Linked DNA regions of Xenopus tropicalis. The protein of the gene in region 1 interacts with the protein of each later gene in a pairwise test. Links are inferred from orthologs where the notes say so. Each region holds a gene or a part of one and is shown on either strand. Other genes may lie near its edges.

Evidence for each region.
Region 2: the proteins of creb5 (region 1) and fosl1 interact in binary tests that used the Homo sapiens proteins (3 or more experiments, as listed by UniProt). The two-hybrid records come from large-scale screens. The link is inferred for Xenopus tropicalis from reciprocal best matches to the Homo sapiens genes CREB5 and FOSL1.

Annotation. Positions count from the first base shown.
Region 1 is NC_030682.2:43,120,200-43,135,858, reverse strand, and holds the end of creb5 (cyclic AMP-responsive element-binding protein 5), read right to left. Parts: intron 14,359-15,659; coding exon 14,131-14,358; intron 10,313-14,130; coding exon 10,204-10,312; intron 7,738-10,203; coding exon of another isoform or gene 7,733-7,737; exon of another isoform or gene 7,702-7,732; intron 6,584-7,701; coding exon 6,420-6,583; 3' UTR 5,034-6,419; downstream 1-5,033. UniProt on the Homo sapiens protein: Binds to the cAMP response element and activates transcription.
Region 2 is NC_030680.2:37,708,961-37,725,820, forward strand, and holds fosl1 (fos-related antigen 1), read left to right. Parts: upstream 1-7,931; 5' UTR 7,932-8,155; coding exon 8,156-8,305; intron 8,306-12,317; coding exon 12,318-12,512; intron 12,513-13,096; coding exon 13,097-13,204; intron 13,205-13,620; coding exon 13,621-14,064; 3' UTR 14,065-14,518; downstream 14,519-16,860.

The DNA.
Region 1 (15,659 bases):
AATTTTTCCAATTCGGATTCGAATTCGTGTCTTAGTAAATCAGCCCCTATGTGTTCATTTGGGAGAATAAATAATGGGAGGGGGGGCTTCTTAACAAACTGAGCTATGCAAGTGCACCTCAGCTGGCTACCGAGACACACACCTGAGCTTGTTGTGAATTTAACACAAAATGAAAGACATCAGGTGGGTTTTGGATAACTGGTCACTGACTACTATAAATCTATTTGCATTAATACACCAACAATAAATTTGTCATGCCGCCTTCAGTGCCAACCCAGATGGAAACCGGGGAAGTGTGTCGCCGAACTTAAAAACAGACAGTTTTACACAAGGTCTTTAAAGCATAAAGAAAATATGGTGTATTGAACCTTTCATCCTTTCTTCATTTATTCTTAAGGCATATGGTGTAAATCAGGGATTTCCAACTGAAAGAGCTTCAGCAGACTGAGGGCACTGGGAAAACCTATTTACAGCTACAGTGTTATAGGTATGGGATCTATTATCCAGAATGCTTAGGTAATTTAAATGCATTAAAGCTACTAAAACAGTTATTTTGCCATCTGTATTGAAAGTACTGTCTAATTATTACAGAGAAAAAGCAATTCCATTACACAGGAAGATTTTTCTGTTTAAAATTTGTGGGAACTGTGAATGTGTATTTCAGACCTTTCCGGAGGGTGCATTTTCTGAGTTATAGATCCTATACTTAGGGGCACATTTACTAATCCACGAATCCGAATCACGAATGGGAAAAAATCGTATTGGAAACGAAAATTTCGGAAGATCGCAAATATCACGAAAATGCTTACGAAAAAATCGTATTAGTCACGATAATATCATATTGGCGATCCGAAAATCACGAAATTTTCGTACCGAACAATTGTAAACAGCGGTAAAACCTTTCCGATTTTTTTGTACAAACGTCCGAAAAAGTCGTGCGCTGTACGAAAAAGTCGTGCGCTGTACGAAAAAGTCGTGCGCCGTACGAAAAAGTCATGCGGATGCCCGAAAAAATCGGCAAAAATACGCTCGGAGCGTTCGTGCTTTTGTAAATGTGCCCCTTAGTATTAAGGGAAAACTGTTCAAAAGGCATTTGAAGGCCACTTGTGACAATGAACAGAGGTATGTATGTATTATACTGCAGCATTTCTTACTGCATAATCCCTGTGTGCATACTCAACTCCACCAATCACAGCACTCAGTTTTTCAGTGTATTCTAACATATACATTTACACTGCCTTTGGGAGTACTGATGTAATAAGGACTGCTACGGTCTATACCCCAGATATGATACAGGATACAGACAAGCATCACGACTGCAACTGCATTCACTTTGCACATTCTGGTAGCAGCATATACTGTGCAATTTGGGTGGCAGTAGAACTACCATCAAGGACCATTAGCTACTGGGTTTTATCTGTTCTGGCCCATAAAATGACAAGAAACTGGAATGCGTGGATCCTTCTCATGCTTATTAGAATACTCTGGCTTATTAATTAATCACAAGTGATAACACTTTCAAGGAGCAATATTCTTTGGTTTATTTGGTTATGGCCACAGAATAGTACATGATTATGTTGCTCTATACATGTAAGTCAATACTTACTTTGTTAGAATTGTTGTACAGCAAAAGGTCATCACTGTGTATTTCCATGGAGCGAATAACTTAAATAATGAACAGCAAACTTCATGGTTATTTTATAAAAAGAGAATAAGTGTAAGCCAAACTGGTTACAACAGTGTCAATAACCATCTAAGCACATATATTCCAAGATTTGAAAATCAAAATGAATTACAGATTAGGCATGTCCCTGATCCACCTGACCCTACCATTCTGCATGAAGCCCTGCCTATTTTTCACAAAACCCTACCCCTTTTGGGTAAACCCTGATTTGTGTCATGCTTGCCTTCATTATTAGACCAGTAGAAGGTAAAATGGATGCTGTAGGTTACTATACCTAGAAATAATGAACATATACACTAGGTCAACAGGGTATTTAAACTGTATGGCCAAAAGTCTTTATCTAAAATAACATTCCCAGTTGGAACGCTCACTGTTGAGTTCCAAACTGTCAATGGAAACAACTGGAAAATGAAGTCATACCTTTTATGAAAGAAGCGTCAGTAAAAGAACAATTTGTAGGGTGTGTGGGATTTATGGGTGATCAGTGGTAAACACACCTAACATTGCCACGTGGAAAGCCAAGCATGACCTGCAACGGGGTATTATTAGCCACCATTGGACTCTGAAGCAATGGAAACTAAGCCTCTGAAATGATAAATGGCATTCTGATGGCCTAGGTTTGCTAGAAGCCAGGAGAACACTAGTCGACTCAACTCATAAAGAGTCTGGTGAAGGAAGAATATTGGTCTGGGGCTATTTTCCATGCTTGGGGCTAGGGCCCTTGGTTCCATTGTAAGAAAACATTAATGCTACATTGTACAATGTCATTCTTGACAACTAATAAAACAGTACCTTGTACTTGATCCCAAATAAGATATAATTAATCCTTATTGGAGGCAAAAAAATTCTGTTGGGTTTTTAATGTTTAAATGATTATAAAGTAGACTTAAGGTATGGGGATCCAAATTACAAAAGACCCCTTATCTGGAAAACCCCAGGTCCAAAGCCTTCTGGATAACAGGTCCTATACCTGTAAAAGTTTTAAAAATGGTAATTGTAATAATAATGATTCCAAGAAATTATTTTTAAAGTTGCCAACATAGCTGCCATTTTAGAAAGCTTTTAGCATTAAAGGGCTGCTTTCCTTGCAGTTTGTCAACCATTTTTTTCTACTGTCTTTTTTTTTGCTATTGTCTGCTGTACAGATGCATTAAAAAACCAAAAACTTAAAAAAAAGGATAGCTAAATACATAAATGGAAAACAAATGCACTTTCTTCTGTTTTAACCTGCATTTTCTGACATTCTTTGTATTTAGGATTTTAGGAACGCTACCTTGAATCTTAGTAGGATGCATAGTAAATGCATGTGTTCTTTGAGCAGTTACATACAGGGGACATATTACTAAAGCTGTGTTTAAAAACTACATTGTAATAATACAGGGTGCCCTTTGTATATTTTGAAAAACAAAACATATTATAAACTTAAAATTCATGCGCATATATTGTTTACAATGTTGCATTTTGTAGTGATGAAATACATTTTACAATGAAAAAAATTAATTTGTCCCTACAAAAAGAATTCTGTGAACACAAAACATTTTTGCAATTACTTTTGTCTACAAAACGGAATTCTGCAGTCGCAAAAATAATGTCACGAAACACAGACGAATTCTCTGAACACAAAGGTAAATTTGCGGTAACAAAATTATATTTGCAAATACAATGGTACACGCACAGAATGCTTTTGCATGGCAAAATGATTATTTTTTTACCAACAATTAATTTTGGAATTTACAAAATGGATACGGTTCTGGTAAAATTATTTTGTAGTCATAAAAACTATCTTGTATTCATGGAATACATTGTCAGATCACAAAATATATTAGAGCTAATTTACAAAACTGTGTGCATAGTTTGTAGCCACAATGCAAGTTCTTACCCAGCAGTTACTGCAAAAACTGTATTGTGGTAGTGTTGATACCTGCATGCAGTGTGCAGTGTTAATGATTTAATCTGCACTCATTTTAGCTTAAACAAGTTGGATCGCAGGTATAGTGCTCACTTTGGATAAACTGCAAATCCATCTGGATAATTCAGTTTACCTGCCTCCAAAATTATTTTCTATTTACAGTACAAAATTAACTCTACAAACACAATTTTGTGGTATAAAAGAAACATTTTAAAGTATACATGTTCACAATTATTTTTGTGACTACAGATTTATCCTTGTGTTCACAGGATTTTATTTGATATTTTGTACTTGCAGAAATGATTTTAGAAAAATGGGTTTGATGCTTTTATGCCAGAAAAAAAGATATATTGTGGTTAAAAAAAAAATAAATAATTTTTTTGCTGACAAAATACATTTTCTGACTACAAAATACATTTTGTGCCCACAGAATGTATATTGTGGTCATTCTGCCAGCAGAAAATTAATTTTGCGAGCTAAAGATATTTTGAAGACAGATAAAATACATTTGTAATACGTAATGATATGTTATCAAATAATGATGTTGATTATGTTGATAAGTCGGATCTAAGATAATTGACGCAAATAAACATTGCCATTAACTGTTTGTAACTATAATCCCACTGCCTGGCTTTCATTCACATGTAACAAAAACAATGGAGCTTTATTAATATGGCATGTATTGTACACCAATTATTTTTATATTTCACACAGCTTTATAAATATGTCCCATGGCTTAGGTAGAACATGTATCTGAGCTCTGAGTAAATATGCTATTACCAGAAATAGCACCAAACCTCTAAAAACCAGAGAGCTGCTCTAAAAACTGGACAGGGGGGTAAAATAAAACCTTGGATATATCCAAAAAGAAAATGAACAGCATACTTACATTATATAGTAATTATTTTATATTAATAAGTATGTGAGTTAAAGTTCATGCAGAAATTTGCCAATGGTCTTTAACCTTTAATATTAAATACTGGCCATACAAGATATATAATTATATCTTAGTCATAACAGGGTCAAGTGATACAAATGGCTTAATAATAGTCATTAAAGGGCAAAGATTGCCTGTTATTTTAGCACATTCATGAGAAATGAGATTCAGAGGCTAGTATTAAAGGAAATCTGATTATGTACATAAATACTGTGCAAATAACATGAACTACATTCAAGGTGCTTGGCCCTTCTGAATCCAACATATTTGTGTTACGACTACAGGTATAGGACTCGTTATCCAAAATGCTCGGGACCTGGGGTTTTCCGGATATGGGTCCTTCCATAATTTGGATCTTCATACTTTGTCTGCTAAAATAAACCCAATAGGATTGTTTTGCCTCCAGTAAGGATTAGTTATATCTTAGTTGGGATCAAGTACAAGGTACTGTTTTATTAATACAGAGAATAAGGAAATATGTTTAAAAATTTTGGACTATTTGATTATAATGGAATCTATGAGTTTGGAACTTTCTGGATAATGGTTTCCGGATAACGGATCCCATACCTGTACAAAAATGTGCATGTTTATATTAGCAGTGTTTCATGACAAACTTGATTTGCTCCTTTTGGATTGCAGTTGATGGCAAGCTCAGGCAGCGGTACCACTTCCACCATTTGGTAATTGCTAAAGAACAGCAAACTTATATCGTTAGCTTGTCTGTTTAGCATAAGAAACAGACAGACTCGAGCCGTGAAAATAAATATGTCAAGTTGTCACATTACTAAACTGAGAAAAATCAGGCAACAGAGGCTCCTAAAATGCATTTTGACCAATCCAACAAAAGCAAAGTTTAAAAGAACTCTGAATATAACCAAATGCAACATGCATCATTATACCTTTAGTGCATATGTTCGTACAATTTCACTTTATGTCCTTTCCACAGAGAGAAAAAAAAGTACATGGAAATTAGCACCTGGGGTATTTGAGACATTTTCACTTTTTTTTTTTGTTTTACAAGTGGTGTACTAATATATATGATTTTTATAAAGGGTATTTGTATTTCTATATTAGAAGTAGAAAGGCAAAAAAATAAGAATCAAAACAATTTAAGAAGTAAATGCTTTCTTAAAATATATATATAATATATATATAAAAACAGCCTGCATATTGTTTTGGTTTGCTGGATTAAACTAAATAGAAAACAGTGCACGCTCAGATCTGCTTCAGCTGAACTTGTGAACATGGGGACCTTAACAGGGCACTGACAAATTGAAAAGCATATTTCTTACATAATACTTTTTTATCCATATTGACTTTTCAATCAGCAGCCTCGATGTGAAGAGAAAAGAAGAGCAGAAACAAAGATCAAAGCTAGAATTTGTTCATTTCTTTGGGAACGGAAGATTTCTCTAATAAACTGAGCTCTAGAGATCCCTAACGGAAGAATAATGCCGAGCCTAGGCAAGGAGAGATGCAAAACTACAAACCAGACATGTTTGAGTATTATAAGATGCTACTATGGTAATAAAGTATCAATTCAAAATAAGCAGACTCTTTGTTTCAGGCCACTTTGTAGACTGGTAAGAAAAACAAAAATAAACAGCTATGTACATAAATGCTTTAGTTCATAAACAATTAAAATTGTACCAGAAAATCGAGAAAGCTGAAAACATTTCCCAAAGTTGCTAGCATATTAATTGCATAAATTCCTTTTTTTTAAGTAAAAAAGACACATTTTTTAATAGTAAGTATAAAAAAGGAAGGCCAAGGTCATTCAAGGACTGAAGATACTTCCAGGTTTCAAATAAAGATGAGTAAAAAGTTCATAAAAGTGGAAGATCTGATATTATACCAAACCCCCGAAGGCAGTTCTAAAGCCCAACCTTTCAGAGAATGGGATTTATGTCTGTTCTGTGATTGGCAAGCGGGTTGAGGTTGGAACTTCCAACGACATCGCTGACAGAGGAGGAAGTTGTAATTGTGTTATGCTGAATGACTTGTTGCTGTGAGCAGGCTGGGACAGGACTTTCTGGTGGGCTGTTTTCAGGGCCTGAATGAAAGAAAAGAAATATATATATATTATACATGTTTAAATACATTTGCATTGAATATTATTACAACAACTGTAACCTGACATGCTTACATCAATTACATCAAGTCCTAGCATTAAAGCGGACATAAACATTCCACAAAGCTCTCCCATTGGCACTTCCTGGCTCTCTAAAGAAGGAACCCTAAATTTAATTACACAAATTCAGGTACATCAGGTAGTTCACTGCTCTCTAGCAGTAAGAGTACAATGATATGACTTGCTTGGCCTGTAATCAAACATCAGAAGGGTGGATATAGTACTATTAAACTGTGGTCACAAAGCAGCAAGGAATCTCAATAAAGGATGGATCTACAATTTGATTAAGGGAGAACTAAATCCTATCCCCCCCAGGTTTCCCTGTGTCCTGACCTGCCATAAATTTGCAAAGTTGCGCAGCAGAGAAAGGGGTAGGGTTTACGTCTCCTTTTAGAAGCGTTGCTTTAAAACTTGCCATGAAGGGGGTTTTTGGCTACAGCTGCCAGCATATATTAATCTTTGATAATATATTGGAACATGGTCCACATTTGGGTGGAGGGACATGGCTATGGAAGGTGTGTCTCACCTTGATGGCCCACCTGCTACCCCTGTTCTACAAGGGTTCTGTCAAGGTTCCCTATGGGTTGTGCTATTTTTAAACAATTAGGTTTTTCAGCAGAATGCAATGAAACAGAAATAGGCTTTTCATCAGGAACATGGAAATAAACATTTATCCTAACAAACACAAATCCCATTGCATGGAAAATATAAAGTTGGAGGCTACGGAGATATCTTTTAGACTCAGTCAACATTATTCTTTTAAAGGTTTACAAATCTGCTAAAAGCTTGACTGAAAACACACCCCAAGACAAAATAATGTTGTATCCTGTGATCATTCAGAGAAAGGTTCCTGATGGAAGACCCAAAGGAACGCCAATTGACTTTCAGAAAAATATTATGTAGCTTTAACTTTTTTTTTTGCTCTCCCAAACAAATCTCCCTCTGAATCTCTCTCTGTAATCTTTCAATTATATCTGATAATGTAGAGAGAAAGGTCATTTCAAGTGAATGTGGTGTATCTTTAGGGAAAGGTAACTTACCATGCACTGGGCAGCTTTTGAGTAGCAGTACTCATCCTGTATAAAATGGAAAATTCATTTTTAAAATGCTTTAAGCAGCTCTCCTGCATATTTCCTTAAGAAATGTTGTTTGCAAAAATGCCAGCAATGACATCATACAATCCAGGCTGATACTGACAGCTCATTGGTAATAAAGGATATTTTCTATGAGGTATTCATATATGCTCACGCAAACAATACAATTATAAAATAAATACATATATCAATTCAGTCCAAGCAAGTCAGCTAATTGCTAGGATAAATGATTAACAAAGCTGCAAGTAGCAATGTGTTAAATAGTTGGTGGAATCTGCAACAAAATAGCTGAATAATATCTTTATGTCCAAGGATCTAGAAATAAGTTAGACAGCAATAGGTAAATTGCAAGCAGGGGGGGTTCCAAATTTCGCTTTTTCTTGCGAAAATTGTTTTAAAGCATTACACAAAAATGTAATATGCCATATGGTTTTACATATGTGTAGGCTATGGGTGTCCATTGCTTAGCAATTAATTGGAATAACAGAACCAAGACAATGGAAAATGCCATAGAAGAAGAATAAGAAGACAACATGACCTCACAATGGATACAAAACCACAAGCACAATCTAACTACATAGTTAGGGCTCTTTATTTAGCCACACACTACGGTTAGTAGCTCAGAAACAAAGCCAGCTAGTCTTGGCTTGTTATTGAGGGTGTTAGATACTCATGGTGTGCAATGTAGGGGCGCACGGTCTGTTGGTGAGCAGTTGGACACCTGTTTCTGATGTCATGCTTTGGGACATTTTTGCAAAGGGAAGCAGGAAAGCAGATTAAAGAATTAGGGGAAAACTTGAAAAGAAAAATGTGCAGTCTCAGGTTATCATTTTGCCACATTCATCAAAGAGTTTAATCCTTTCTCCATTCCTGACTGATAATTTGGTTGAACTGAAAATAATCACTCATTGAAGTTAGATTTAGCTTCACTCTGAGATAAAAGAGACTTTTTAGATTCCGCCCAGTGCATGGTTTTCCTTTGCATATATAAAGAGTAGTTTACCACACGTATATGCAAACTACCACAGGGTAGTGGCAATAACTAGCGCAGCGTATGGCAATAACGAGTACAGCTTTGGCAAATCAGTAAACTGCAGCTCTTCTGCAACGACTTCAAGTCTAGAGTTACACACTTTTGATTTATTTTAGACATGAAAATGATAAGCAGAATACATTTTTCAAATTTTCCCACTGTATTGAATTTAGATGAATAATGGCATTTTAATACAAACCCATGGAAATCAAACCAAACCAGGGTATTAACTAGATAGAGGATTCTGATTAACTCCTCCCATTCAGACTAAATAAATGGGCAGAGGGAACTTATCCACTCTTAAATATAACAGTTATACACAATATATATACAGGTATGGCATTCATTATTCAGAAACTCGTTATCTACAAAGCTCCGAATTACAGAAAGGCCATTTCCCATTGACATATAAGCAAATTATTCTAATTTTTAAAAATGATTTCCTTTTTCTCTGTAATAATAAAACAGTACCTTGTACTTGATCCCAACTAAGATATAATTACCCCTTATAACAGGCAAAACAATCCTATTGGGTTTCTTTAATGTTTAAATGATCCAAATTACAGAAGGACCCCTTATCCGGGAAACTCCTGATCCTGAGCATTCTAGATAACAGGTCCCATACTTGTATTATATTTATTCAACAAATTTGGACACAGTTGTTGATGATTTTTACTCATTCATCGCTGGTGCCTTTTGATCTCGGCACAAGAAATGTTGCCAGTACATGAAGTCCAGTTAGATCAAAAGTTAGAACACAATGGCCCACATTTAAAGGGCTAAAGAGATAAGGCTGATCAATACTATTGACTAGAATTGAAAACTAGTGACCAAAATTTTGGGTAGGGATCTGTGGCAAAATTTGATCATTTTTGCCCAAAAGGCCTGTAGACCCCAAAGTACTTTTTGTGAAAAAAGTCACCTTTAAAAGATGCCCATAGACTCCAATGGATTCAGAAAACGTCTCTGAGAAACCGCCCATTGGCTTGAATGTGTTTCGCAAATTTTACAGCTATGAAAATTTATTGCTCATTGCTAATGAATACAGTTGCTTGGAATCTCAAAGCACTCGTGCCACTGGGGCAACTGAAAGTGCTACAAGTAACACTAGGCCTGTCAATATAACCTGCAGTATGCAAAGGGTAAATTGAGGCCTAAAGGCTGCTGGGAGTATTTGTATGGCTGTTTATGGAATTTTTGCAGCCAGTTGGCAGAGGTCATCTAAACACCATGTAGAGTTTCTTAAGAAAGAAAGCTGCATCTTTTAGTTGCATATTAAAGGGGTGAGTATTGTGGAAATGTAAATGTTTGCCGTTACCAGGAAGCCTCCTGTAACTAGGTACTGGCGACCTTAACGGCAAGACACTCAGTTAAGATGAAGGTGTAAAGAAGAAAAGATGGCATTCAGAACTTACTCAGGTATCCTTGTGACTCTTTTTGCATGGCAGTTATTGGACAGTCTTTATGCGTTAACAATAATTGTTTCAGTTGTGCTACCTCGTTTTTCAACATTGAAACCTCATTCTGGAAAAAAATGTGGCATTTTAAATACAAGCATATAACAAGAGCAAAAGATCATAAAATTATAAAAATCACAAAATCAAAGTCAAAATGGACTTTAAAGATACAGAAAACCTTGAAACATCTGTCTAATTAACTACACTTTTCTTGGTGAGTTGTGCTTAGAGGGGGCAATACCTATGTTACACAGCAGAATGGAGTCTGCGCATCCCAACCACTGGCTTAGGGCCCATCATTCATATTTTACAGCAGAATTGACAAGGAGAGTCAGTAACAGGGAACAGGGTCGGACTGGGGGGTGCAGGGCCCACCCAGGCTCCCGCCCCAGGGGCCCTGCAGGTGCCCCAGCCGTGTCCGTCCCCTAACCCCCCCCCAGGGGCCCCCCTAACCCCCCCGCAGGGCCCCCGCCTGACGTCCTCCCCGAGCGCGTATAAACTGAACATGTCGGGGAGGAACAGTCAGTAGGGGGAGCGCCGGCAAAGGTCGGACTGGGCCGCTGGGGCCCACTAGGGCCGGGGCCCACCGGGATTTTTCCCGGTGTCCCGGCGGCCCAGTCCGACCCTGACAGGGAAAGCCAATATCACATAGATAATAGTCACCTCTAATGGGGTACAGAAGCTAAATATTATATTTAACATATAATAACATAGTTACACTGAATTTCATTAAAAACATCTGTCTAATTAACTACACTTTTCCAATTATTTTAAAATTTGATTGTAAATGTAATTGGCATTGGATATTAATGCATAGTAAATACACATTTTTAGTGATTTTAAAGCTTTTTTCTAAATGTAACAGTATCTAAATCCCATAAAGAGTGTTGGCTGGAAGGGAGCAGACTATATGCAACATGTATTCAGAACCAGCAGTGCAGGTAACAGGAACATTACTAGTACTAAGTACTAAAACCCTGCAAGAGTTCCCAAACTCAAATACCACTTTGTGCAGATTGGTTTTTTTTTTTTAACAAAAACATAAGAAGCTTGGCAGGTTTTAGGTGCAGAGATTTTAATTTTTTGTCAGGAAAAGCGTGATATTGGAATGAAGACACAACACAATAGTTTGGGAGTTTGGGAACTCTTGCAGGAGTTTAGTACCCGAATGCTTGAGTGTTCCTCAGCCCCTTCATAAACCGCCCATATAAACAGATAGAAACAGATAAAGTTGTAAGAGACTATTCCCTTTGACTTCTTTAGAAACTTACCAACTTTTACTTGCTGGATTTTTCTGACAACTTTTTGCTTCATTTTTTTCTTTTATAAATTCTGACTATCCAAGGGTTCAGAAAATACTTATAAAAATATTCCCTTTTTGCCACATTTCTTCTCAAATAGAGAAAAAAACAAACTAAATTTGAATAAAATCCCCTCTTAGGGGCACATTTACTATGGGTCGAATCCGAGTCCGAATGGAAAAAATTCGAATTGGAAACGAACGTTTTGCGACTTTTTCGTATTTTTTAAGATTTTTTCGGCGCCTTTACGACTTTTCGGAAATTATCGTGACTTTTTCGTTACCAATACGATTTGCGCGAAAAAACGCAAGTTTTTCGTAGCCATTCCGAAAGTTGCGATTTTTTCGTAGCGTTAAAACTTGCGCGAAAAGTTGCGCTTTTTTCGTAGCGTTAAAACTTAAAAGGCGCGACGTTTCGCGCAAGTTTTAACACTACGAAAAAATCTCAACTTTTTGTGCAAGTTTTAACGCTAGGAAAAAATCGCAACTTTCGGAATGGCTACGAAAAACTCGCGTTTTTCCGCAAAAATCGTATTGGTAACGAAAAAGTCGCGATAATTTTCCGAAAAAATCGCAAAATACCGATCATTACGAAAAAAACGCAATCGGACGCATTCGGCCCGTTCGTGGGTTAGTAAATGTGCCCCTTAGCGTCTTTTCCTAATGGAAACATCTTGTAAAAATGCTTATATTTCTGGACTATTCACCCTTAAAGTTTTCATTATTCTGTTAAAGGGAAAATATGCTCTATTTCTAAGACAGGATTTATTTCACTTCCCATTGATGCTTTCTAAAAGTTATTTTTATGCACTGACTATATGTAACTGTCTTAATATGTGTCATACTGAAACTGAACTCCCAGTGGCCAAATGCATATGAGGGATTAGGAAAATGTATTGAGTTGAGTTCCACATATGAGGTGATGTGTGGAAAAACAGGTCAGTGTAAGAGAAAAAAAGTCCATTAAAATCCCATTCTTATAGAGGATGTCCACTAAAACAAACATTTTTTTCCCAATTAAAAGAAAAGCACATTTTGCAATAGAGGCTTGTGTAGCTACAGGTTGTGCTCTTCACACTTAACAAGAAATATTCAGGTTCTGATTTCCCTATTTAACCTTTTTGTAAATACTGACAGGGGAAACCCTTTAATGAGGTTTTTTTCTCTAAATCTGGTTCCTGATACTGGATAGTAACCTCTTGAGGATACAATAAATAAGTGAAATCTTGTTAAGGCTTCTTACTAACAACAATTGTGAAAATCCATCGATCTGTGTGTCTTTTAAAATGAAGGCATTTATGCCATTTATGTAAATGTTGTACGTTACTGTGCATTGTTACTGACATGGGAGGGACCTATTTATTAGCGCAAGATTTCATATAATAATGTTATTATTAGCGGATATATCAGGCCCTGCTACATGGATAATACAAATATCATTTGAAATAGCACTTCCTGTACCCAGTAACTAATGTATTTTACTTAATGCTTCTAGAAAAATAAAACCATTCTTAGAAAGTATTTTACCATCGTGCAAATGTTCCCCTGTGCTGTTAGATTTAGAGAACAAGATACTAATATACATAATAATTATTAGAATTCATGTAATCAGTACTACATACTTTGACAGGCATTGCTTTTTTAACTGTATTTTTTAAAGGGACAGCTAAAAACTGCACTATAATATTTAGCTTTTATTAAATATATCTATAATATATATTGGAAATAACAACAACAACAACAATAATAATTATTTAGTTATGTTAAATGTAAGAAAATGACTGCCAATCATTTTTATATTCATTTTTTAAATAATTCTATAATGTATTAGGATAACAGCAACAGATTTCTGCACACATTTGAATAATGTCTATTTAAATGAAAACAATTTTTTTTAAAATTACTAAGAATTACCTTTATTCCTATATGAGCCATATCATTTTAAATTACCATTTTTTTATCCAATATTTTTTTTAATATTATTTTTTAAGAATTTAGAAAAACTTTTCCTTTTTCTAAAAGAGACTTTAGTAAAAAAAAAAAAAAATCACACAAACCAATAACTATAGATATATATGAATGTAACTTCAGCTTGTGATGTAAAGAACAGATATTGAGCTTTTTGTGGCAGTGAGAAATAATTTGTAATCAATTACAATACAGCTAAAGGTTATTTATTATTGTTTAATAATGAACATATTTTCAGAAAATTGCCCTATTAAAACTTTCCATGAGGTTAATAAAATGGTTTAATGTAACTTAATATTTTAATACAGGTTTTAATAACATTTAATAAAACGCAAATGTACCTTGTTTAAAAAAAAAAAAAAAGTGTAGATTTCTTTAAAAGAAATCTTTATTAGGCCTGGAGGTTTTCAGAGAGTTAGTTCTGGGGTTGTTCAGCATGAGTTGTTTTTATAAGAAGGACCTCAATCATTACCAACTGTTGATTATGTCTGTGTTTTCATTATTAATCTAATGTGTCTTGCTGTGCAAGCGGGTTGTGTATGATCAAGCTGTTCAGAAAATGCCCTGGCAGTAAACAGTGCTTCTCTTTTTGCCTCTTCAGGCCATACAGTACACACCTGAAGCTGCATGTTTGTCTGGGTCAGTTCCTCTGCTTTCTTTTCCAGTGACATCACCCAGACCTTCCTTTTCTGTCTGCACCGGGTGGCAGCTGCTCGGTTCCTTTCCAGAAACTTTCGCCTCCTTTCGTCTGGATCCTCATCCACAACCCGCCTGCGACGGCCTCCCGTGGGCTGTTGGGGCTGTATTGTCTGAGTGGGCTGCATTTGCTGTGCTGCTGGTGAGAGCTGTAGGGGGAAGAAAAGCGTAATTGATTCTCTAAACCACTGGGACTTGAAATTCGGTGATGGCAAGCAGAGCCACAATGTCCTCATAGGAACTTAATTATATAGAATCTATTAGCCTTCTACTGTCAAGGTAAAACCCAAAGAAGTCTCAGGTCACAGCTACACACATAAACTACCATACCAACATCTTGGATGTATCAAGAAAGTCTTTAACATGAGCTGCCAGCTCCTTTGGAAGTCAAGAAATATTGTGGTCCAAACAAAATGGAGAGCTTTTTGTACTTTGAACCTGTATTTTCAGAATATAAAATACAGTCTCTTGGCAAAATCTATATAAAAGTGTCAGCATTAAGTTATAGTATATTATTAACAACATCCAGTGCAACATATTTCAAGAAACAAAAGTCTTTTAGAAGGGGCAGATACTGCAATTCTCTCATCCACTGGTTTTGCCATTATGTATTGTAGAAAGTGTAATGTCTAATGCAGTAGGAGTGTGTGTATCATATCCATGCCATTCATCCAACATGTAAACAGAAAATGTGCTATGCTGAGCTGTGCTGCCATTATTATCATGTGAATTCTACATTTACATAATAAAAAGCAAACAGTCATTCTTTTTGAAATAGATTACCCATTATTTAATTGCTAAGGCAGCAGGCAAAATGCTGAAACCTGAAACTGAAGACTTAAAATAATACATAAAATTGGATGTTATTTTTAACTGTACTGGAACTAACCTATAGCCAGCTTCAGAGTATTGGAACATTTCAACAGAGCCATCTGCCAACTATAATAGGGCCAGCAAAAACATGCAGACACCTCCAGCTTGTTAGGTCTCCCTTTTCCCATAAAGGTATGGAACCTGTTATCCAGAATACTTGGGCCTAGGGGATTTCCAGATGAGTCTTTCTGTAACTCGAAACTTCAACAGTATTTATCAATTTTCGAGTTTGTCTTTCTAAATCAAATAAACTCGCATTTCGAATGCTCACTTATTTATTGATGTGGTAAATTCGTTTGAATAAAAGAACTCGAACAAAACTCGAAAACTCAGATATCTTGAATTGAAAATATGGCTTGACTTTGCCTAGGACAAATCCCATTGGTTCTATAGAGACTTGCAAGCTTTTAGATTGCAAAGTTTTACATTCAGGTTTACGGGTTTTTTACACTTAATAAATACCAGACATTTAAGTTTTTAAACCATAAACACCAAACTCGAAGGTTGATAAATGACCCCCTAAGTCTGTTAAAAATCATTTAAACATTAAATAAATCCAATAGAATTATTTTGCGTC
Region 2 (16,860 bases), on another chromosome or scaffold:
TCTAATAATACTGAACTTATCTCTAACATTTGTGTGGGTGAGCATTTGGGGAACAGTGATCACAACATGGTCTCCTTTGAGATAATGCTGCAGAGACAGCTCTATAAGGGAGTAACTAAAACGCTCAATTTTAGACGTGCAGACTTTGCCAGTATAAGGGCATCTCTGCAATGTGTCAACTGGGAAAGGCTTTTCATGGGGTTAGACACAGAAGGAAAATGGAACATCTTTAAAACATTGCTTTGCAGGTATACACAACAGTATATTCCCCTTGTAAGCAAGGAGAGGCATCGCAAAGCAAAACCCTTATGGCTGAATAAAAGAGTTAAGGTCGAGGTTGGTAATAAAAAACGTGCTTTTAAAGCATTCAAGTTAGCTGGGACAGCGGAAACTTTCATCAGGTACAAGGAAGCAACTAAAGCATGCAAAAAAGCTATCAGGCAAGCTAAAATAGAGATGGAAAGGGATATTGCAGCTAGGAGTAAAAAGAATCCAAAATTATTTTTTAATTATGTGAATAGTAAAAAAATGAAGCAAGAAGGGGTGGGAACTTTATTATCACGGGGAGGTACGTTGGTTGATGAGAACGGGGAAAAAGCTGAAATTTTGAACTCTTATTTTTCATCTGTCTATACATCTGAGGAGCCAGATAATGAAGGCTTCCCTTTTAATATGCCCAGTGCTAGTAATTTAGCTACTGACGCGTGGGTCACTCAGGAGGAAATTCAAAAGAGACTTGAACATGTAAAGGTAAACAAAGGTCCAGGGCCGGATGGGATTCATCCCAGGGTATTAAATGAGCTGAGCGCTGTGATTGCCAAGCCTCTTCACATAATTTTTCAGGATTCGTTGAGGTTTGGCATGGTGCCGAGAGACTGGCGGATTGCTAATGTGGTGCCGTTATTTAAAAAGGGATCTCGTTCTCAGCCTGAAAACTATAGGCCTGTTAGTCTGACATCAGTAGTAGGAAAGCTTCTGGAAGGGGTAATAAGGGATAGGATAGTTGAATACATTGCAGTTCACAATACTATTAGTTTGTGCCAGCATGGTTTTATGCGTAACAGATCTTGCCAGACTAATTTAGTTGCCTTTTATGAGGAGGTGAGCAGGAACCTTGATGCTGGAATGGCAGTTGATGTCGTCTACTTAGATTTTGCTAAAGCGTTTGATACAGTACCTCACAGAAGGTTAATGATCAAATTGAGGAATATTGGCCTAGAACATAATATTTGTAATTGGATAGAAAACTGGCTGAAGGATAGAGTACAAAGAGTGGTGGTAAATGGAACATTTTCTAATTGGGCCAGTGTGGTTAGTGGAGTACCGCAGGGGTCAGTCCTTGGTCCTTTGCTTTTTAACTTGTTTATTAATGACCTGGAGGTGGGCATAGAGAGTACTGTTTCTATTTTTGCTGATGACACTAAATTGTGCAAAACTATAAGTTCCATGCAGGATGCTGCCGCTTTGCAGAGCGATTTGACAAAATTGGAAAACTGGGCAGCAAACTGGAAAATGAGGTTCAATGTTGACAAGTGCAAAGTTATGCACTTTGGTAGGAATAATATAAACGCAAACTATCTACTGAATGGTAGTGTGTTGGGGGCATCCTTAATGGAGAAGGATCTAGGGGTTTTTGTAGATCATAAGTTGTCTAATTCCAGGCAGTGTCATTCTGTGGCTACTACAGCAAATAATGTGCTGTCTTGTATAAAAAAGGGCATTGACTCAAGGGATGAGGACATATTTTTGCCGCTTTATAGGTCCCTGGTAAGGCCTCACCTTGAGTATGCGGTGCAGTTTTGGGCTCCAGTCCTTAAGAAGGATATTAATGAGCTGGAGAGAGTGCAGAGACGTGCAACTAAACTGGTAAAGGGGATGGAAGATTTAAGCTATGAGGTTAGACTGTCGAGGTTGGGGTTGTTTTCTCTGGAAAAGAGGCGCTTGCGAGGGGACATGATTACTCTGTACAAGTACATTAGAGGGGATTATAGGCAGTTGGGGGATGTTCTTTTTTCCCATAAAAACAATCAGCGCACCAGAGGTCACCCCTATAGATTAGAGGAACAGAGCTTCCATTTGAAGCAGCGTAGGTGGTTTTTCACGGTGAGAGCAGTGAGGCTGTGGAATGCCCTTCCTAGTGATGTGGTAATGGCAGACTCTGTTAATGCCTTTAAGAGGGGCCTGGATGAGTTTTTGAACAAGCAGAATATCCAAGGCTATTGTGATACTAATATCTACAGTTAGTATTACTGGTTGTATATATATAGTTTATGTATGTGAGTGTATAGATTGGTTAGTATAGGTTGTGTGCTGGGTTTACTCGGATGGGTTGAACTTGATGGACAATGGTCTTTTTTCAACCCTATGTAACTATGTAACTATGTAACTATGTAACTATTACTGCTGAATATTTTTTCATCAGGATTGGCACACATGCATAAAAGCATATGAATTTAAAAAAAACATGACAGTGAAGATGCTTAGAAACTTCTGAGTTTATTGGTTAGCATTGGAGCAGCTACAAAGTAAGGCTGATGGCAGACGAGGCGTAGGGCGGATATTTTTGGAAAGCGGAAAAGCGCTTGCTGAAAATACCGCCCTACGCCTCCTACGAATGAATGGAATATGCTCAGCTGCAGGCACATGTAGCCGAAATACGCATAAAGACACAAGAGAATGCAAAGTCTCGCGTTTTTATGCGTATGCGGTATTTTCAGCAGGCACTTTTCCACTTGCCGAAAATATCTGCCCAATGCCTTGTCTGCCATCAGCCTAAATGTATTTTAATTTTTGATCTAAAAACAAAAGAGATTCAGTTCCAAACAATATAATCACAAAACATTCTGATTCTGCAGTAGCCAATAACGTAACTATTAGCGCCGGGGCCCGGGTGCAGGTTGAGCACCTTGTACTTGATGAATTATATGCTAACATAAAGTCATAATGATATTTCAATTTTAAGGCATGGTGCTCTTAATAATGAAAAAACACTATCTGGAAATCCCCAGCCAGGTCCAAGAATTCCAGAATATAAATCTGGAATTAAAAGAATGTCTGTTTCGTTTCCCATTCATTAACTGCTCAGAAGAGGAACTAACTGAATTCTCTTTTTGTACACCACTGTGAGGATGAATGATTCATTTAATACTTTGTTTTTATTTAAGTTGAGTATTCTGTTATGAATTATCAGCATCCCATAAGAAATGGTGGCCTTTCCAGCTCTGGGGATTACAAATATACACATTTAAGATAATGAGTACTGAAAATATCCCTATACTCCCACGTATGTCACCAATGTTTCAAAAGGGCCATTGGTGAAAAGGGTTCAGTGCTGGTGTGGGATTAGCCTGCCCTGTAAAGAGTGGAACTAATGGGCAGGGTACCTCACTCCTTACACTTGAAAATATAAAACTTGTAAAAACTTTCGTTTTGTGGAAGTGACTCACAAATGACACAAAGGAAGCAAATGATTCAACACTCAGCAATGCAGGGAGCCAGAAAGGAATGTTACATTTTCATCTAACATGTAGAGCGTGTCAGCCGTCCGTGTAGCAGCAGGTGGATATGCGCGTTACTTGCAACTGCTGGATTTGGCGGGAATGAGGAGAGAGTCCTATTTTCGTAGGAAACAGCAGGAAGCTTCTTAGGATGCAGAGAATTTTGAATGTACAATACATGAAAAAATGCAGTAGTTATCAGGATGCATATATACAAATATAAAATCTTTTCTAGCACACAAATGTTTAACTTACTGTCCTCCAGCTGCTTTTAAACTACAAATCCCAGCACCCTGTACATTCCAACATTGTCATGGAAGAATAGGAACTAGAGGGCTGCAGGTTGGAAATTCTTCATTTAGTGCAAGGGTCCACAAACATTTTTTTTTACCTGTGAACCACTATCAAATGTAAAAGGAATTGGGGAGCAACACAAGCATGAAAAATTTTCCTGGCAGTGCCAAAAAGGACTGTGATTGGCTATTTAGTAGCCCCTAGGTAACCTACCAGCCCACATAACCCTCCATTTGGTATTACACCTGGTTTTTATGCAATTAAATCTTGCTCCCAAGCCAGGAATTCAGAAATAAGCACCGAGTTTGAGGCCACTGGTAGTTGGTGAGCAACATTTTGTTCATGAGCCACTGGTTGTGGATCAATGATGTAGTGCATATGGCCTATAGAACATCATGTGGCTAAATCTGCAGCTGCTTAATCCATTGTGTTGTCTACAGAAAAAAATGGCAGCTGGATTTAGTTTATTCTATTAAAAAATAAATGTAATCAAATATAATTGACCATGTATTTCTGATACCAATAATACTCACCCCACAAGCTCCAAGTAATCCTCCAAAACACCACTGCATACCTGTACAGTTTATACACACACTTGCAGGTATAGTCTATGCCATTGATTCCAATTATGATCCATACTATAACCATCAGTCACCAGGAGGTCTCTAAAAAGAGAAAGTGACATATAGAGTTGAGTTGTACATACAGCCTGGCCTGGCCTAATGGGACTTTGCCAAACCTCTTTTTCCATCTACAGTTGCCTTGTATTTACTCATCTACATTGGCAGAAGATTAAAAAACACAAGAGGATAGAGCAGATTCCTCATTTGTGACTGATGTGAGACCCTCATCACCATGGAATGTGCTCCTGCTCCAGGAGGGAAAAGGGGAATTTTACTCTGCCTCGTGCAACCAGTGCTGGAATGAATAACTGACCACTATACGAGGTAATGGGGTTAAGATGAAACCACAGAATAACGAGCGTTGAACTATTAATCTTAGTTTCTAACACTTCTCATTGTACAGTCTCCCATTCATTTCAGCTGCTGCTAGAGTCTTCCTTTAACCTCTTTGTGACATTCTAGACCAAACATTTATTCAGTCTTGAGAAACGATTCTATATAATACCACCTAAACATAATTATGTTACTTTCTGTTGGTAGTTTCACCAACTGCTCATACTCCCTGCCTTAAAGCATACTGGGCTGAAATCCAGCAGTAATATCCGGTTGCCATTCAAGTCAAAGGTAGGCAGCACAGGTGGTGCCGGTCCTTTCTCCACTGAGGGGGAAATATGCCTCCAGAATAAGCCCTACATGTGCCATTAGCCTTGCATTCTGTGTAGAATAAATTGGTTACTGTAGAGATAAAGATAAAGTGATACAGATAAAACAGGGATCAAATGGCATTCATAAATAGAACATTTAAAAAGGGGCTTAGGAAATGTGTCAAACTGGGCTCAAATCTACCCTGCTATATTCAAAGTTGTCAGCCTGACAGCTATGGTAGCCAGGGGTAATGCAGCATAGCGTCAAAAATTTTCCCCGATACACGGAAATAACGTCACGAATGTCACACGCACTTCCACAAGTGATGTCACATGCATGCACACACAAAATCGCAGCTGAAGCAAAAAAATTGCACCTGCACGTGCGCAGATGCATCAATTTACAGCATGAATGCTTACTGCACATGTGCGCCCGAAATTCACTGCAGGACTTTGTGAGACTTCGGAAAAATTGAGAGGATGAGGGAGAACGGGTAACTCCCAAAGAAATAGGGGGGATGTGGACAGCTCTGCAGATTATTATAGAAGCCACCATGAATGATGGTATGTTTCTGGGAAAGGGCCACTATAATGAGTCATCAGAAACGACGCAAGATATAAACACTCTGCTGCAACTGCTTGTAATTGTGCACACTATACTTCATTATTTAGTTAGATACTCTGGCAGAGCTTACATGACTGGCAAACCGGGGGAATTTGGCAAAATGCTGCCGCAAATTTTCAAACACCGTAAGTGATGTTACCGCACAAGCGTACACTCCTTTGGAGCACACTGCTCCCTACATTTTTTCTGCACATGCCCACACTGAATTGTTTGCCAAAAAAACTAGAAAACAGGGGGAAAGCTAGAAAAATGCGGGAAAGAGGCAGTGACGGGACATGGAGCCAAAAATCTGGAAACTCCTGGGAAAACAGGGGGTCTCCACATGTTGCTCTGGTACCTTTAATCCAAACACTTTTTGCCACAGATTTGAATATAATGTACACGAGACAATAAATTACATCATTTTAAACGGTGCTTATTGATGTCACCAGTTTAACCATTGCTTAGTGATTTGTGTCATGACTTACTAAAACTTGTGTACTATAATAAATGATTTAGCCAGTTATTTAATATCAAGATACTACAAGTCACCTAAGAGTACCCTGTATAAAATAAATATATATGGATACTCACAATATCCTTCCATTTAACCATTATTGCCTATATAGCAGCTCCTACCTGACACCAGTTGCTCAATACTTTGAATCACTCTAGGTGACTGTCCCACTCCTCCCTGCCCCTGTGTGTTTGCCTTTCACACTAACTTCCGCTGCTGCTACCTGAGCGCGTCCGCTTTAATTAACCACATAAATAATTGATATCAGTGTCTTGTGACTCCATATCACCGTTTTATATAACAATTCTATCTGCCTGGTGGCCTTTCGGTCATTTCCCGGCAGTAACATTATCTAATATGACATAATACACGAAGAGCAGTGCTAGTAAACGTTCGGCCCAGCCTTCCCGCCCTCCCTCTCTCTTTCCTATTGGCCCACGGCTGTTTCTGTCACTTTAAGGGGGAAAGCAGGGAGGGGTGACAGGGGGAGAGCAGGGAGAGGTGACAGGGGGAGAGCAGGGAGAGGTGACAGGGGGCTGAGTCACAAGTTACGGGAAAGACAAGCACGTGAGGGTGAGACAGCCGGCACCCGGGGGTCCTGAGAGAGGGGAAAGGCGAAAATGGCTGGGGGAGGGGAGACGAAAGAGACGAGACATGATTCTGTCTGAGAACGTGAAAGAAACAGAAAGCGTGTAGAATTAACTCTTTCCCTGCCACAGTTTTTATGTTACACTGTTGCATTGCCGAGAACAGGCAAATAACGTGAATATGATGGTATATTTAGCCACTCACCTGCCCAGCCCAATCACGTCACGTCAAGCAATTGCACCTAAATTGTCTGTATCATTAGGAAACGGGTGACTCATATATAACTCAAATATATAATTATCAATATAACAGAACACCGAGGGTAATGTACAAAGCCCGCACCTACAGTATAACAGAAGTCCCCTCACTTTATACAGATCATTAGGAATTGCAATCATTTCTAGTTAATCGAATAAAAGTCCCAGTTTCTACATGTGAAGGAACAGTTCTTTTCTGGATACAGTGTGGGACTGAGATGCCACTAAACTATTATTCCTCATTTAATCTCTTTACTATACTAGTTATTATATTATAGTTTATTATACTTCTTTGTTCCTATTTTTTCTCATACAGGAATAGGGAATGACCATAAAGCAGCCCACTGGGAGTTATCCTAGTATCCTGATGGACCAGTCCAACTCCAGCAAAAAGAAGCGAGAGGGCCCACTGACACCTGGGCCCACCTGGAGATTTCCTGGTATCCTGTCTGTATAACTCGCAGTATAAATTAGTGGGTATTTATATATATATATATATCGGCATTTATAAGAAGCGAGCGGTACACACCTGTCTGTTTCTTAAAAGTCCCTCAGTTCTTGATAAGAGAGTTTCCCATAAATTCTACCCAAACGTGTCGATTTCAACGTAAAACGTAAACACTAACCCTCGGTATACAAACAGGCATCATTTCCCAGAAGTATTTGCTTTTCTTGGTGCCTCTGTAGCTACAGCGTTTTACCTATAATTTCCTTTCCACTCTGGAAATAGCAGAACGAAATAACAGCCATTTCTAGCAAAGGGGTTTCCTCACGCTGGAGGAAGTATACCATATATGGGCATGTACGTCACAGGCCTTTAGGTAACTCCGAGGCTGTACCAACTGTGGATTACTAATGGGGGGAGTTATACTTTATAAACATTTACACTCAGACGCGCCAAGAAACGTCTAATATCCACTTATTATACTGTTAGAGTTAAAACATCTTTTATCCGAAAAACAGTGTACTTGACGTACTCGAAGGATCCAGCAACGCAGTTTCGCACAACTTTTGACAATTACCCCCCCACTATTTTATATAGTTCAGTCTGCCAATCTTCATTCATAAACTTTGACTGGGGGCAGTCTGAGTCAGAGTGAGTTAAACCGAGGAGTAGTGAGGATCCAGAACATGTACAGAGACTTCACTGGAGCCTTCCCTCAGCCAGATTCGGGGTGCAGCAGCCACGGCCTACGGAACTCGGGATCTTCCCCAATTTTAGGAACTTCAGGAATGGGACACAGCGTCAGACTGAACCCACCTCCCGAGGACGCGCAGCAGGTGAGTCGGCATTTCTTCAGGTTTATTGCTGAATCCATACACAGTTATCTGTAACAAGACGTATTATATAACATCTACACAATAATGATTTTGGGAAAATATATGTATATATATAATTTTAAAAAAGTTGCTCAGACCTCTACACTTTTTCATGGTCTTTGACAAATCCCGAAACATTGCTTAGGAATGTACAGCAAATACACTTTTATTTTGCTCTATTTAAGCTCTAATGAGTGTGCTTTTCTATATATGCTGCTTCAATTGGAGTATGTCACTTCATCTCTCTCTCTCTTACTCTCATTCTCTCTATATATATCACCCATATATGTGTTTGTTACATATATATAAGTACATATGTCATATTTTCTGTTGTGTCTATGACTCTGATTTCCCCCAAACCTAGTAAAGTGAATTAAGTTATTTGTGGATATTTATCTGGGCAATATATGCCCCCTTTGTAAAGTATTGGTGGTATGCTTAGGCATTGGCACTATGAGGCTGTTACTGGGTACAGGAGAAGTTGAAATCACTAGATAACTTATTATATAATGTGCTTTTATTTTGTCATTATGGCTGGCTTCTTAAACCTTGGTCTCCCCATTATCCAGTATCTTTCCAATGCTGTGACAATTAGCTTGTTTTATTTTTGTTTTGTTGTAAAATCCTGTTTTACAAAGCTATCCTTTTAAATGCACCTTAATCTGCTGGTAGAAAAAAAATCATCTTTTGACTCTGAATGGCTGCCAATATTTGAAAATAATTTCCAGGGACTCTTGGCTACCTGATTGGTGCGTCCCATAAGACTTTGTTTCAAAGGACGCACAATGCGCCACGCCTACCATACATGCCATGCCAAAGGTGAATCATCATTTAGTGGTATTGTATTGTAAGCACCCCCTTTTTATGAACTATAGTATATTGACTGAGAGAAGACAGGAAATTTATTTCTGTCATAGAATTAAAGCAATTTGTTTAATCGGATTTTAAATACCCAAAGCATGGTTAATTAAAAAACTTGTATCTATGGTATGCATGTACTAAATATGTTGCTACAAGCTGCTGCGCTATCAGAAGTGAAAGTGGAAAAATACCTGCTATTGCTAATGTAGTTTGGGGGACAGGTGTGATCATGCAGTTTTATGTGCTGGGGATTACCCTGTTTTATATTGCATTAGTCCAGCACAAAGTTCACTGGAAGTCTTCTAATGCTAAAAGGGATTTTAACAGAAATTAAAATTAAATTTAAATAAAAAAAATAAGCATAGAAATCACTTCAACTATTTTAATAAGGCAGATAGTTTGTTTTAGAAAAAAAAATTCCTTTGTGTTAATCACTGACTAGGGGAAGTGTTAGGTCTCATTTCCTATGAATCAATTAAAAATATTGTTTTTAAGTATTTACCACCTTACATAAATGCTTTAAATTGTCTTTTCTACCCTGAGAAAAAATAAAGTAGCAGCAGATCCACAAATATCATGTAATGCACAAAACTGTAGGTCGTTGCTTGCAGAGAACTCTTTGCAATTGTGCATTGGCACCCATGAGTAGGAGCACTGAGCCAAGGCTTGTCCATAGACATCAGAAGAATAATACCAACTAGGGTTGCCACCTTTTGCCAACAATAATATCGGCTGGGATGGGGGCAGGATTGCGAGGTGGCGTGTCTGTGATGTGGGGGATGGGGTTATGACGCAAATGGGGCAGAGTCGATGCATCACCAGCCAGATTGCAGAAGACCTTCATGAGTAGGGCAGGCTTCTGAGGCATAGAGAGGGCCCCGGGGCGAGGGGATTGTGGGCGGATCGGAGGTGTGGCTGGGGTGGAGAACTAGTTATGACAAATTTACCTGCTAGTACATTTCTGCTAAATTTGTAATACCAGCCGCGACCTTGGCTGGTATTTCTGAAAAAACAGACAAGTGGCAACCCTAATACCAACCAGTGCACACAAATCACTGCAGTCTTTTACTGATACATTTAGATAATGGCAAAGCCCAAGAAAGTAAAATGTCAACTCCTACTCAAATGCAAATATGAGCATGAATGCTCTGTGTAAACAATACCTCAGTGTCATGCTGGTGTAAAGATAAGTGGGAGGCTTGATAAATTCTTAGAGAGGAGCATGTATAGTTGTCTGTTGTCTACCTTTTTAGATTATACAGGGATGATCTATATTTTGATACCCAAATAAATTCCTCAAAGTCAACATAATCAGAGTTTGTATCTTAACCAAGGGATCTCAAATGGTCATGTTTTCTTTCTCTGTTAGCTATATCTCCCAGCATCCTCAGTAGAGGTCTGCAGTTTTGACATACCTGTTGGGGAGATAGAAAATAGGATGATACAGTTCCTCTTGAGATTTCTGAAGAGAAAGTAGTGAAAATGCTGCCAATACCTGCTCACAGAGCCAGCAATAGACTCTTCCTCGTTTGTATTTTGTTTTTCCCATCTATAAGTCTCTTGCACATAGTTTTACTGCATGTGTCATGCATGTCTTGTTCTGACGCTTTAGGACAAGTCACCTGTATAAATTCATATGGCCCCAAAACAGCTCTTTTCATGCAGACTTTACCGCCCAATGCAGCCAATTCATGCTGCCATAAAAGGATTAGATTTGGCTAACCAGGACAAGTCCTGATACAGACAGAAAATGTGAAGCTATTTTAGCCTACGCCTTTGTTTCATCAGTAATAACTCCATTCGTTTCTGTTACTGTCAGAGGCAACATTGAGGTAGGTGCTCATACATTTTAAGATGTACCTAAGAATTTTAGCTGCAGGTAACATATGTTTGTGACTGAGTCAATTCTGCTGATGACATGCTTGGTACAGAATGTCCTAAACAGTCTACACCCTCCTTTGAAAATGTACTTTATCAAGCATCATCGCTGTATAAAATGTAAATGGCATCTGTGAGCAGTTCTTTAACATGGCAAGCAGGTCTTGTTACTCAGCATTAATGGTGGCTAAATTATACTCATTACACATTAATTATTAGGCTAAAGAGGATGGTATTAAATTCAATGGTTGTTTCTGAAATCCTGACATGCAGGAAGTATAGACGTTTGGTGCAGTACATAGTTACATAGTTACATAGGGTTGAAAAAAGACCATTGTCCATCAAGTTCAACCCATCCGAGTAAACCCAGCACACAACCTATACTAACCAATCTATACACTCACATACATAAACTATATATACAACCAGTAATACTAACTGTAGATATTAGTATCACAATAGCCTTGGATATTCTGCTTGTTCAAAAACTCATCCAGGCCCCTCTTAAAGGCATTAACAGAGTCTGCCATTACCACATCACTTTTTAGATTATACAGGGATGATCTATATTTTGATACCCAGTACAGGCAAGAATCCAGCTCTCATTGCCATAGTAAGCCACTTTAGTATAGAGTTTAGAAAAAAAAACTCAAGATGTCTGAGGTTTGGATTGTAGTTTATAAAAATAAATATATTTTTTTTATTGGTTTTCCACTGACAGCCTAGCGGCAGTTTTTGTTGTTTTTTTTACATTTTGGCACTCAGGTTCTAGTGTCCGGTTTTGAACAATGTACAATTATTATTGGTTGCAGTGATCTAGCTGAAACCAGAATATAGTTTATCCTTCAAAAATACCACTCTGTTCTGTGGGGAAAACTACAATTTAATCTGGAGATTGTTTTGTCACTCACTTTCCTTTCCTAAAGACTGGAATTTTAAGCTTCAGTTTATATAAAACTTGAGAGAGAGAATTGCTGCAGCACTTTATTCTGACAAGTATCTGCATACTATAAATTCATTTTCAGTCTAATATCAACTGTTTTTAAACTGCACCCCTGTTAATTCTGATAACTCATCCAGTAAATCAATGGAATTATATATATCTGTGTCTACTAGTTAATCATAACCATGTGAACACTCATAATAACGCACACATTTTTTTTTTTTCAAATAAGTATCAACCAAATATGCATATAAATCAAATTTACCTTTAACTTCCTAAATTCCTTTACAGAAGTATCCAGTTCACACATCCTCGGGTCAATTTATCCCAACATTGAATGCTATCACATCAAGTCAGGACCTTAACTGGATGATCCAACCAAGTGTACGCCCCCTGAATTTACCACCATACCAAAGCCCTCGGCATGGGGTAATCCGTAACATGGGAGGAGTCTTGAGTATGGGGCGAAGGAGAAATGGAGAACATGTAAGTATGCACATTATCGACTTATTAATAATACTTTGATTTACTTTACTGTTGTCCCTTTTAAATAAGCTGAGCATACATGTCATTTAAAATTATTATGAATTGAAATAATAAAATTGATAGAAAACATAATACTTTTTACCCAACCAAAATATAAGCCTTAAAAGTTAACTGTTTTCTTTCCGAGGCTAAAACAATAGTATTTTGCCAATTATATTATGAGGCTGAGAGAACATGATCACTACTTAAATCCTAATTACACATGCAGCGGAAACAGTTATTAGGCGACTCACCAACAGTAGAATGAGTCAGGTTGGGAAAGAGAGCCTAGTGGTGCGTGCCAAACCATGGTTTGAAGAGCGGGATAAACATTAATGCCTGACTCATAGGGTCACAGTCACTGCCAATCCCTTCATTCATGAGCATGGCAGGCAGGCAGTATTCATTCATGCCACCCCCTTAGACACATAATAAAGGTATTTTGTGGGAAGTGGCAGTGCCAAACCAGCTCCCTTACACACATATAACAACACTTCCATAAATTGGGTAACAGATTTATTATCTCTTTTTTTTTTTTCTCACAGCTGTCACCAGAGGAAGAGGAGCGAAGACGAGTGAGACGTGAGCGGAACAAGGTAGCAGCAGCAAAATGCCGTAATCGTCGCAAGGAGCTAACAGATTACCTGCAGGCAGTAAGTTAAATAGGGTAGTTGAATTACTGCAGTGATCCCCAACCAGTGGCTCGTGAGCAACATGTTGCTCACCAACCCCTTTGATGTTGCTCCCAGTGGCCTCAAAGTTGGTGCCCATTTTTAAATTTCTGACTTGAAGGCATGTTTTGGAGGCATAAATACCATGTGTACTGATAAACAGTGCCTCTAGTATTCTTCCAGTCCACATTGGGCTACGAAATTATCAATCTGAGTCCTTATTGGTCACCTACTAGGAAAGTTTTTGTGCTTGTGTTGCTCCCCAACCTTTTTTCATTGAAATGCTGCTCATGGATAAAAAAAAAGAGGGGATCCCTGAATTACTGGTCTAATTGGGGGTTAAAGTGACAGAAGTGGGCATAATATACAATACTTGATATCATTTTTACTTTAAATAGGAGACAGACAAACTTGAAGAAGAGAAGTCATCCCTCCAGAAAGAAATTGCTGAGCTGCAGAAGCAGAAGGATAAGCTGGAACTCATCCTTGAGGCTCACCAGCCTATATGCAAGTTTCCTGACTCCCATCACAACATGCAGCAAGTGGACTCCTCCAGGCTGGTTAAGAAGGAACCACATGAAGAGTCACCCAGGGGACCTAAAGTCAACCTTCCCAGGATAGAGCTGAGCGACACAATCCTAGAGCCAGAGGCCCTTCACACCCCAACACTCATGAAGACACCATCCATTACTCCTTTTACGCCAAATTTGGTATTCACTTATCCTGGTCCACAAGAATCATGTTCTACAGCGCACCGAAGGCTGAGCAGAAGCAGCAGCAGTGGTAGTAGTGGAGAGCAAAGTCCATGTTCTCTAAGTTCTAACAGCCTACTGACTCTTTAGAAAAAAGAAAAAATATATTTTTTACTGTGTGTGCTTCTGGGTCTGGATTCACCTGTTAGAAATCTACGCCAACCCAAAAGTTTTATAGACACTCTATATAGAATTTTATTCACTTTCTTAATAAGGCATGCTATCACTTACCTCATACTTCCTCTCTTAAGAAACCACATTACTTCCCAATTAATGATTCTAGTCAGATGCGTGACCTGTCATTATACGGTTACAAGTAAAGTGTGTGTATATGACTGCCTGACCTTAAATACGGTCCAGGGTAAAGTCAGCGGCTGAGCCGGTGTTAAATTTAGTGGCATTTTTTAGTAGGTTCCTATATAAAAGCAGCAGTAGAGCAGGTTCTCTCTGTATTTATTAAAAAGATATTTTTATATGATTTATGCTTGACATAGAAAACGTGCATTTTGATAATAGCACATTAATAAAAACCTGTAAGAAAATATCTCCTTTGTTTTTTCTGTAACAAACTTCATCAAGAGATTCCTCTGTGTGATTGCCTTAATCCAAAAATATGCATTGCCATCACAATGTCATATTTTATTGAAATTTATTTTCCAGTTCTTTATTGGGAGAGAGAAATGTTTTGAGTAGAAGCTATTTTAGCCTACGCCCTTATTTATCCATAACAGAAACTTAGTTTTGTCTCCCCATCCACTGTTTGAGTCTGTGAGGAGTTAAACCAAGCATTTCTGGTCAAGGCCAAAGTCACACAGAGCATCTGCTTCACTCCGCCTGCACTTTGTAGGCAGGTGGAGATTCAGCAGCTCCATGTAACTGCATTGACAGGCACAGCTTCCACCTTAGTGCACTTACACAGAGCCCAAAAATGGCTGCTTTCATGTCTTTCGGGTGGATCTCCGCTCTGTGTAGCTGTACTCAGGCCAAAAGCAGTGCAGCTACACAGAGCTGTGGAAGAGAGTGGATTCGCTTCTCTCTGTCTGCCTACAAAATGCAGGCAGAGAGAAGTGGAGCCAATGCTCTGTCGGACTACAGTATAAGGGAAATTGATAGTAAGTAACCCCTAAAATGAAAATTAATGTTTCCCTTAAAGAGTGTATATTTTTATCAAATATACTAAATCTAAATAGTGCCATCAAACCATAGGCCCTTGGGCTTCATAGACTTCATTGTATTGCGTTTTATCTTTTTTTTTTAATGCACTTTTTGCAGTTTTGTTTTAGCAGATATTTCATTGGCTCCATTAGAGTCATGCAACCACCCTGATAAATACAGCATTGTCTGTGTGTAGTAGAGCTGCATTTAATATGGATAGGCACTCCTTTTATCCCCAACATTTCCCCTAAATTTTGCATCATTTAGATGTGAGTGGTGACATACACAGGCCTCAATGAGGCCCTGTTCTTAGTGCCTGCCAAAGCCTAAATCAGCACGAAAAGGGTGCAGATTTGCAGGCCCTTATTTTTGGGTAGGCCAAAAATTGGGGGTATGGGGGGGACCATGTTGCTCACTTGGGACCTTTGCCACTGGGGACCAGGGAGGAGATTTCTACAGCTGTTTGAATCTTCCTTTCAGCCAGTCCCAGTGGAAACCATCAATAGATATTCAGTCAGAGAGGTTGTGAATGGCGGGGAAGGGCTATGGGTGGAGATTGGATGCGAGTGACAAGCTTAGGGGGAGTGATTGATGGGTGCTGAATGAATCTTAAAATCTGACCCTGCAGATTTATGACTCTTGGTGCTTGAATGTTTGTCACCCTATCCCAGTTTATCCCGGTGTTTAGTTTATTATTTATTACTCATAGTTACTTTTTCTGACTCATCTTAATCTGCAGAGCTTGGTGGGGTTTCCCCTGCCAAGTATTCTTGGCAGATACATATTTGAATTACTAGATGGATTATTTTTGTGCAAAGTCATTCTTATCATACATCAATTCAAAAAGAACATTGGCAAAGGTTAAAAAAAAATGTTTTTTTATTATTTACATTTTGGTTGTTAGCAGCCAGGCAGAATGGACGACGGCTAGCATTCTCTCCGTTGTGTATATAGCAGTGACACGTACACATCTCATCAGTTCCTGCCTGAGTAGAAATTACCAGGGATGCCATCAGTGGGATACACGGGTTCTGCAGCAATGGCAGATGGGGGCTTGGATTATGGGAGAGAGGATGGCCCATGGGTGGAGTTTTAGCACAACTGGGGAATCAATGGTGTAACTACAATACAGTAGACCCCATGGCTACAGGTTCCCGGGGGCAAGGGGGCCCAGACCACTGGGGTCTGCTGTATTGTAGCCCCCTCAGCATTGCAGTAAAACTCACCACAGACTGCAAAATGTGTCAGGGACTCCATAAAAATTTCTTTGTGGTGGGGAACTAGTTGGGTGTAGTTACATCTGTGGTGAGTTTTACTGCAATGCTGAGCGGGCTACAATACAGCAGACCCCAGTGGTCTGGGCCCCCTTGCCCCCAGTAACCTGTAGCCATGAGGTCTGCATGTGCTTTTATTTTTTTATTGGGACCCCCACTTTATTTGTTGGCAAAGTCCACCACCAAGGGGGCCCAGGTGACCAATTTTTGAGGGGTTGACAAAGTAGTAGTTCTGTGATTAATTTGGGCCCCTAAAAAAAGTAAAGAATCTATAAACTAATTGGCTTCTCTGTCACACATAGACCACTTTACAAATCATTAAATTTAAATCATTTTCACAAAAGTTTTTTGAGGTATACTGTACATGGTATATTATTACACTGCCTTATATGAAAGCTGTTTTTTCTTCTGCGGTACAAAACCCTGTCATGCTGTTTCACATTTGTACACTACAAAC